Rattus norvegicus: one gene and its partner. The protein of the gene in region 1 purifies or fractionates together with the protein of each later gene. This does not show direct contact. Links are inferred from orthologs where the notes say so. Each region holds a gene or a part of one and is shown on either strand. Other genes may lie near its edges. The genes, in order: Dock1 and Elmo1.

Region 1 (3,820 bases):
ACAGGGGATTAGAAAGAGCCTTGGTTATAGTCAAGATTCATCCCATTGACTTTCTGCCTTTCTGTTCAGTCTCAAAAACAGAATATGGATATCAACAGACAAGCCAAGTTCGCAGCCACCCCATCTCTGGCCTTGTTTGTTAACCTCAAAAATGTGGTTTGTAAAATAGGAGAAGATGCCGAAGTCCTCATGTCTCTTTATGACCCTGTGGAGTCCAAATTCATCAGGTAGGCAACTTCCCCATTGAAGACTTCATCAGTTGCTTTTCTCACTGCTGTGATCAAAATACCTGACAAGAAGCATCTCCACCAGGGAGGGTTTTATTTTGAACCACAGACTGAAGATGAGGTCCAGCATGGTGAAGTCCTACTAGTGGGAGCTGCTCTCAGCTGAAGTAAATGTGCTGGTTAGTTTTTTTTGTCAACTTGAAACAAGCTGCAATCATCTGGGAAGAGGGATCTTTAATTGAGAAACATCCCTCTATCTGTCCTATTATAGGCAAGTCTGTGGGGGCATTTTCCTGATTAATGACTGCTATGGGAGGGTCCAGCCTACTGTGGGAAGGTGGTCCTGGGTTATAAAGAAAACCGAACTGGGCAGGGCCAGGTGAGCAAACCAGTAAGCAGTGTTCCTCCACGGCCTCTGCTTCAGTGGCTGCCTCCGAGTTCTTGCTTTGAGTTCCTGCCCAGATTTCTCTTTAGGGAGGACTGTGTAGGTTGAATGGTGAGATGAACACTTTGTTCCTCATGGCTTCTGGTCATGATATTCATCAAAGCCGTAGAAAGCAAAGAAACTCAGCCCACAAGCCACACCTTTACTTTTGGCAAAGTTTGGTTTAGGAGTGTTATCTGTGGCTTTCGCCTCTTTGCTGCCTCTCTAAGCTGATTGGCTAGTTGTGTATGTCAAGTATTTCCTCTTGTCATATGAAGAGTCATAATAAACATCTATTGAATAAAACCATTGGAAATACATTGGTCTTCAATATAACTTTCTCTTTATCCTGATTAAAAATAATTGTGATTAAACTTTGTGAAGTGTGTGTATATCTATATATCAACACTCCTGTATTTATCAAAATTTAAAAATGTACTATTTTCAGGAAACAGAACATATAGGTGATTTTTACTCTCACTTCTGATAAGTGCTTTCTTTCTTTTTGATGGAGATACAATTTATATTTTACGGCTTGCTTGCCTTTATTGAGGGCTCCGAATTAAATATACATTGTTCCAAATTCAATACACAGCGCTGTATTGTTGTCATTCTAAACAGACAGAGAGGTTTTTCACGTTATAAACATTGAAATGTCATTTGAAAATACTTCTGTTAACGGTTAATCCATGGTGTAGAAAGTGAAAAGGTTGTTCACAGTGCCTGCTCGGTAGGTAAAGAGGCTACCTGCGGCCCAGATACTTATCAACTCACAGTCAGATGCATAGTGAATCTCCATGTTGTTAATTATTTAGTCTTATGGAATACATTGGCTGCTCGTACATGTTTGGAAGATTAATTTGGTCCTGTTTTTTTCTTTCCTCAAGTGAGAACTACCTGGTCCGCTGGTCAAGTTCAGGATTACCAAAAGACATTGATAGGTTACATAACTTGCGTGCGGTGTTTACGGTGAGTACCAGCCATGGCTGTGCACGTTGAATGTCATTGAGTCCTGCTATTATGGCTGTTTTGGGAACTTCTCAGCATTGAATGGGGCCTATGGGGTGGGGGTGGTGCCACTTGTGACACTGGCTAACCCAGGAATCCCTGAGCTCTTTGTGGAAGTCTCGGAGCTTGGTCTTTGCTTAGTATTGTTAGGAGATAAATTCCTTCCCATCTCTTTAGCTCATGTCCAGTTCAGTGTCTGCTGTTAGTTTATTCCTTCCTGTCATGTGAGTAATTTTAAAATACTCTTATCTGGTCTGAGAACAGACTCTCGGTCCATTTTAACGTCCTTTTCTATTGGACTCGTGTTGAATCATAGTTCTCCATGATGATTTATGGAAATTAATATTTCTAGGATCTGGGGAGCAAAGACCTGAAAAGGGAGAAAATTAGTTTCGTCTGCCAGATTGTCCGAGTTGGTCGTATGGAGCTGAGGGACAGCAACACGAGGAAACTGACTTCGGGGCTCCGGCGACCTTTTGGCGTGGCTGGTAAAAATTCCACCCCTGTTTTGCTTTGAGAATTTCAGACCATTCACTTTGAGGAAGGACAGTGGGCCACTTTAATTTTTGGACTTAGCTGCTTGGGGGAGGGGGGCAATCTATGAGTTGTTTTTCATAGTTTGGAGCCTACCTGCTGCTTCTCTGATGCTTCTGATTTATCCAGTTTGAAAGCAGATCCCAGTTTTTACTGGGAGAGGCACTGAATCACTTTCCCACATTGTGGAGAAGCCAGCACTCCGGGGTTTGCTAGGCTCAGTGCTTGAGTGCTGGACAGGCACAGCCTAAGACGAGGAGCTAAAGGAGGTACAATACAGCTTGCACACAGGCTTGTTGATGGCTGTACAAGAAAGTGAGAGCCTAGTTATCTGTGTCAAGGAACAGTAAGTGTCCCCACTAGGTGATATCTTTGAATGTCAGTCACTTCCTTCATAATGTTGAGAAGCAGTTCTCTTTCTTTTTTTCTTTCTTTTTTTTTTTATTAACTTGAGTATTTCTAATATACATTTAGAGTGTTATTCCCTTTCCCGGTTTCCGGGCAAACAGCCCCCTAACCCCCCCTCCCCTCCCTTATGGGTGTTCCCCTTCCCATCCTCCCCCCATTGCCGCCCTCCCCCCAACAATCTAGTTCACTGGGGGTTCAGTCTTGGCAGGACCCAGGGCTTCCCCTTCCACTGGTGCTCTTACTAGGATATTCATTGCTACCTATGAGGTTGGAGCCCAGGGTCAGTCCATGTATAGTCTTTAGGTAGTGGCTTAGTCCCTGGAAGCTCTGGTTGCTTGACATTGTTGTACATATGGGGTCTTGAGCCCCTTCAAGCTCTTCCAGTTCTTTCTCTGATTCCTTCAACGGGGGTCCTCTTCTCAGTTCAGTGGTTTGCTGCTGGCATTCGCCTCTGTATTTGCTGTATTCTGGCTGTGTCTCTCAGGAGCGATCTACATCCGGCTCCTGTCGGTCTGCACTTCTTTGCTTCATCCATCTTGTCTAATTGGGTGGCTATATATGTATGGGCCACATGTGGGGCAGGCTCTGAATGGGTGTTCCTTCTGTGTCTGTTTTGATCTTTGCCTCTCTATTCCCTGCCAAGGGTATTCTTGTTCCCCTTTTAGAGAAGGAGTGAAGCCTTCACATTTTGAACATCCGTCTTGAGTTTCATTTGTTTTAGGCATCTAGGGTAATTCAAGCATTTGGGCTAATAGCCACTTATCAATGAGTGCATGCCATGTGTGTTTTTCTGTGATTGGGTTACCTCACTCAGGATGATATTTTCCAGTTCCAACCATTTGCCTACGAATTTCATAAAGTCATTGTTTTTGATAGCTGAGTAATATTCCATTGTGTAGATGTACCACATTTTCTGTATCCATTCCTCTGTTGAAGGGCATCTGGGTTCTTTCCAACTTCTGGCTATTATAAATAAGGCTGCGATGAACATAGTGGAGCACGTGTCTTTTTTATATGTTGGGGCATCTTTTGGGTATATGCCCAAGAGAGGTATAGCTGGATCCTCAGGCAGTTCAATGTCCAATTTTCTGAGGAACCTCCAGACTGATTTCCAGAATGGTTGTACCAGTCTGCAATCCCACCAACAATGGAGGAGTGTTCCTCTTTCTCCACATCCTCGCCAGCATCTGCTGTCACCTGAGTTTTTGATCTTAGCCAT
Region 2 (3,820 bases), on another chromosome or scaffold:
TTGCCTATTGAATTATAATGACAAATATGATTTATGCGAGTTTCTTAAGAACATAACAGAAATACAATGAGAACATAAAAGTCATGTGTCTGGATGTTGTGGATGAAGAAGCAACCTAGGACTTTGCAAGGAGGGACCATTGGCAAACTAGAAATTGCTATCTTAACAAGAAAGTCATTTCTTGAAAACTGAAACTCAGAATAATAATCTTGGGGAAAACAGGCAAGATGGTCCTTTAAAGATGTCTCTTAAAGAGGCAGTCAGTTATTACAGATTCCTAAGATGGGTAACTGTATTTTGTGACAATTCATGAACAGTATTGACTCCATGCATTTCTTGTTCTTCTGCAGTATGTTTTGTTCTGACTGTATTACTGTGCATTGGGCTCCCAGTTTGCTTTATTGGATCCCTTCTTTCCTTCTTTGTTTGGCTTACCATCCAATCATGAGTAGTCATTTGTGACCTAATTGTGTTTTCAGATAGCAAGCTTTGTGAACAAGTCTGCCATAGACATCTCAATCCTGCAGCGGTCCTTGGCCATTTTGGAGTCAATGGTTCTCAATAGCCATGACCTCTACCAAAAGGTAGCTCAGGAGATCACCATTGGCCAACTCATTCCTCATCTTCAGGGGTAAGCATGCTAGGCACTCTTGTGCCTTGTTTCTGGGAAACAGTCATTATGATGGACTGGGAAACATTGGGAACTGGTTAAGTTACATGCTCAAAAGAGCTTCACTTGGGAGCAAACTAGATACTACCTTATTGATCATGATACATCCCCGAGGAACCATATGTCTCTCCCCAGAGCCTAGACTACAGGATACAGTCAGCTTTGGTGACTTTTGGTAGACATTGGTTGAGTTTTACTTTTTACATGACACAATAGGATATTTTCTTCTCTTAGGTTCTCAATAGGGTCTGTGTTTTATAATATTACCTATGATATTTTCTGTGACACTGTGAATATTTTCATAATTGTTTTGGCATTTTAAGGAGTTAGTTACTTCAGGTTATATACTGAAACCTAATGTTTGAAGCTAGGATCGATATATGGAGAGAGAACGTGGGGCGCTTGTGGTTTTAGACTAGGTCACCTTAACTAGCAATGTTTAAAGGCAGGCTTCTTCCATCACCAAACTTCAGGCTTGATAGATAAAATGGTGAAAGAGTAAAACACGTGTATTATTTTCTTAAAAGCCTGAGTAAGATGTGGAGGTTAAACAACTGCCCTCAAACCCTGCAATCTTTGCAGAAGTTCCCCATTTTTATACTCTTTGGTAAACTAATTGATAACACTGAGAGGGACTCTGATATGCTATGTGGCTTGTTATATTTAAATATTGGTGGGCGTTGGCTGGTAGAAGAAACTTTGTGAGCTAGCTCACATAAGAAGTGAGTTGGTTGGAAGGATATGAGGATGCATTGTAGTGTCTAGAAATGATTTAAGGAGATGTGTTTTCAAAAACAGTTTGACTGGCATCAAGGTGACTCCCAACTCTGCTCTTCTGGGTTACATTTGCTTATTCTTAATAGTAAACCTGATTGAACCATTCAGGATGCGTGTAACCATGCCTAGAAGTATAGATCGGTGGGAATAGAAGGGGTAAGCCAACAATTCTCAATATACTGAAGATGTTGGCTTATGTTTGTAGTCTAAATTACAAAAGTACATTAGATGTTTAATTCATTTGGAGGTAAGGTGTGAGCAGAATGTAAAACTAAAGTCAGAGAAGCTGTGGACTTTGGCCTCAGGGACTTAGCCCAATCTCTAGTAGGATGTATTTTGTATATAGTAGCTTCATTTAAAATGACAGAGTTTTCATTGTCTCTTAGTGTGAGAAATGTTGATTTCACTGTCTGGATTTCTATTTCTGAATCTCAGGGGCACACATGTTCATTTATAGTACACTTCACTGACAAAAAAGCCTGTTGTTTGCCAAGATTTGTGCTAAGGATGGAGATGTGATGTCTAATTCTGCCCTAGATAGAGCAGCCCTAGGAAACAGTATCTTCCCTGAGTGTAGCTCTGAGTCTCTTGGCTTCTGCCTTGAGCCCTTATTCACTGTTTACCTCAGAATTTCTGCCCTCTTTCCAGTGAAGAGCAAAATTTTGAACAAGAAGTTCCAACATTTACTACTGTTACAGTGCTTGTGTTTGCCAACAAGATTTTAGAATATGTAATGTTGCTATGGGAACAAAGCTGTTTTCTTTTAGATAAGCCCAGGAATGCTGAAATGCTAAGACATCTACAACTGCTCCCATACATGGACCAGGCATTGGACAGAAAATCACACACACACACACACACACACACACACACACACACACACACACACACACACAGAGAGAGAGAGAGAGAGAGAGAGAGAGAGAGAGAGAGAGACAGAGACAGAGACAGAGACAGAGAGAGACAGAGAGTACAAGCCCACAGTATCTGGGTACTTGGCTTTTAATCAGATGACAAAGAGGGAGTAAACCAGCTGGCCTCATGCCAGCTGATCTCTTTTGACCAGGTGAGCTCTTTTGATCAACTGGTGTAATAGCAATTGTGTGTCTACCTGTCCAGTCCAGGGATGTTGGGAATATGTTATTATGTCACAAGTGCTGCCTGTATTTTCTGGGTCCTGCCCTTGTCCTCTGTGCAAGGCCTGCTTTATTTGTGTGTGATGCTGAGCCTTGCCATGGCTGACTCGGGACTAGTGTCTTCTGATTTCCTGTGTTCTTTGGGTCTTTACAGGACAGACCAAGAAATCCAGACTTACACCATTGCTGTAATCAATGCACTTTTCCTGAAAGCGCCTGATGAGAGGAGACAGGTAAGTCTCAGGTCTTTAGTCCTAAGACTGGATGGGGCTAGAAACTCTCTTCTCCTCTGGGAGCTCAGTCCATGGAACAGCCATGCCTTGAAGACTGGATGGGGCATAGGAGGAAAGAGTAGATGAAGAAATCATTTAATAAACCAATCTAACAGCAGAATCCATTGTAAATTCAGATTATTTTATGAGGAACCCAGTCTCAGAAATAAATTAGCAACAAGATACACACTTTCTTATGGAAAGTTAATGTTGACTCTGATAACCACGGAATAGATTGTTACATTGTTTAAATGTAAAATATCTGAGGAGAGTGAGCCCTGAAGATCAAGATCAAGTTCACAATGGTCTGTCTATGGATGTTCACTGCAGGCCTGTAAAGTGTGATTCACACATCTGTTTACCTGGATGCTTCTAGACTGTATCAGCGGCAGAGGGTTTATACTTTTATCTGGATTTGACCTTAGATGTAAAAGAGCATTTAGCTTATCTACATTTGATATTTGCATTTTATTAGCACAATTTTCATATTAAAGGAAAGGCATTTTATTTTCACTTTACAAATGAGGAAAGAGTTGTTCCAAAGGAGTAAAAAACCTGACCAGGTCAACACAGCGGTGAGAACTAAAGCTGTAGGCCAGCCTCCTACTTGATTTTAACTGCAAAGAATCCCATTAAATGCCCCACAAGCAGAGAATGCCCAAATTCATGAGGAAACAAGACCCACTTTCTCAGTCCAACTGGATTAGAATATTACTTAACTATTTTTACCTTGAATTTTATAGAATACCCCCTTTAAAGATTGATGATTAAGTCTGGGACATTGGATCAATTTTGCTACTATTGAATAATTTGTTGTCCTGCTTGTCAGGATTTTATTATTTACTTAAATGCATGAAATGAATTTGGGAGGACTAAGCTTTGGTATCTCCTCTTGGATTAGTGGTTGTGCTGTTTCTACCCCTGTGGGAATCCTTTCTTGCTGCGTGGATGAAGGGACTGTGCTC

What was found.
Region 2: the proteins of Dock1 (region 1) and Elmo1 purify together in Homo sapiens (affinity purification with western blotting; 12 studies listed by BioGRID and IntAct, counting the BioPlex papers as one, with this or other methods). This does not show direct contact. The link is inferred for Rattus norvegicus from reciprocal best matches to the Homo sapiens genes DOCK1 and ELMO1.

What each region holds. Positions count from the first base shown.
Region 1 is NC_086019.1:198,973,435-198,977,254, forward strand, and holds part of Dock1 (dedicator of cytokinesis protein 1), read left to right. Parts: intron 1-69; coding exon 70-227; intron 228-1,538; coding exon 1,539-1,620; intron 1,621-2,011; coding exon 2,012-2,147; intron 2,148-3,820. UniProt on the Homo sapiens protein: Involved in cytoskeletal rearrangements required for phagocytosis of apoptotic cells and cell motility. Along with DOCK1, mediates CRK/CRKL regulation of epithelial and endothelial cell spreading and migration on type IV collagen.
Region 2 is NC_086035.1:49,312,159-49,315,978, reverse strand, and holds part of Elmo1 (engulfment and cell motility protein 1), read left to right. Parts: intron 1-479; coding exon 480-631; intron 632-2,737; coding exon 2,738-2,816; intron 2,817-3,820. UniProt on the Homo sapiens protein: Involved in cytoskeletal rearrangements required for phagocytosis of apoptotic cells and cell motility. Acts in association with DOCK1 and CRK. Was initially proposed to be required in complex with DOCK1 to activate Rac Rho small GTPases.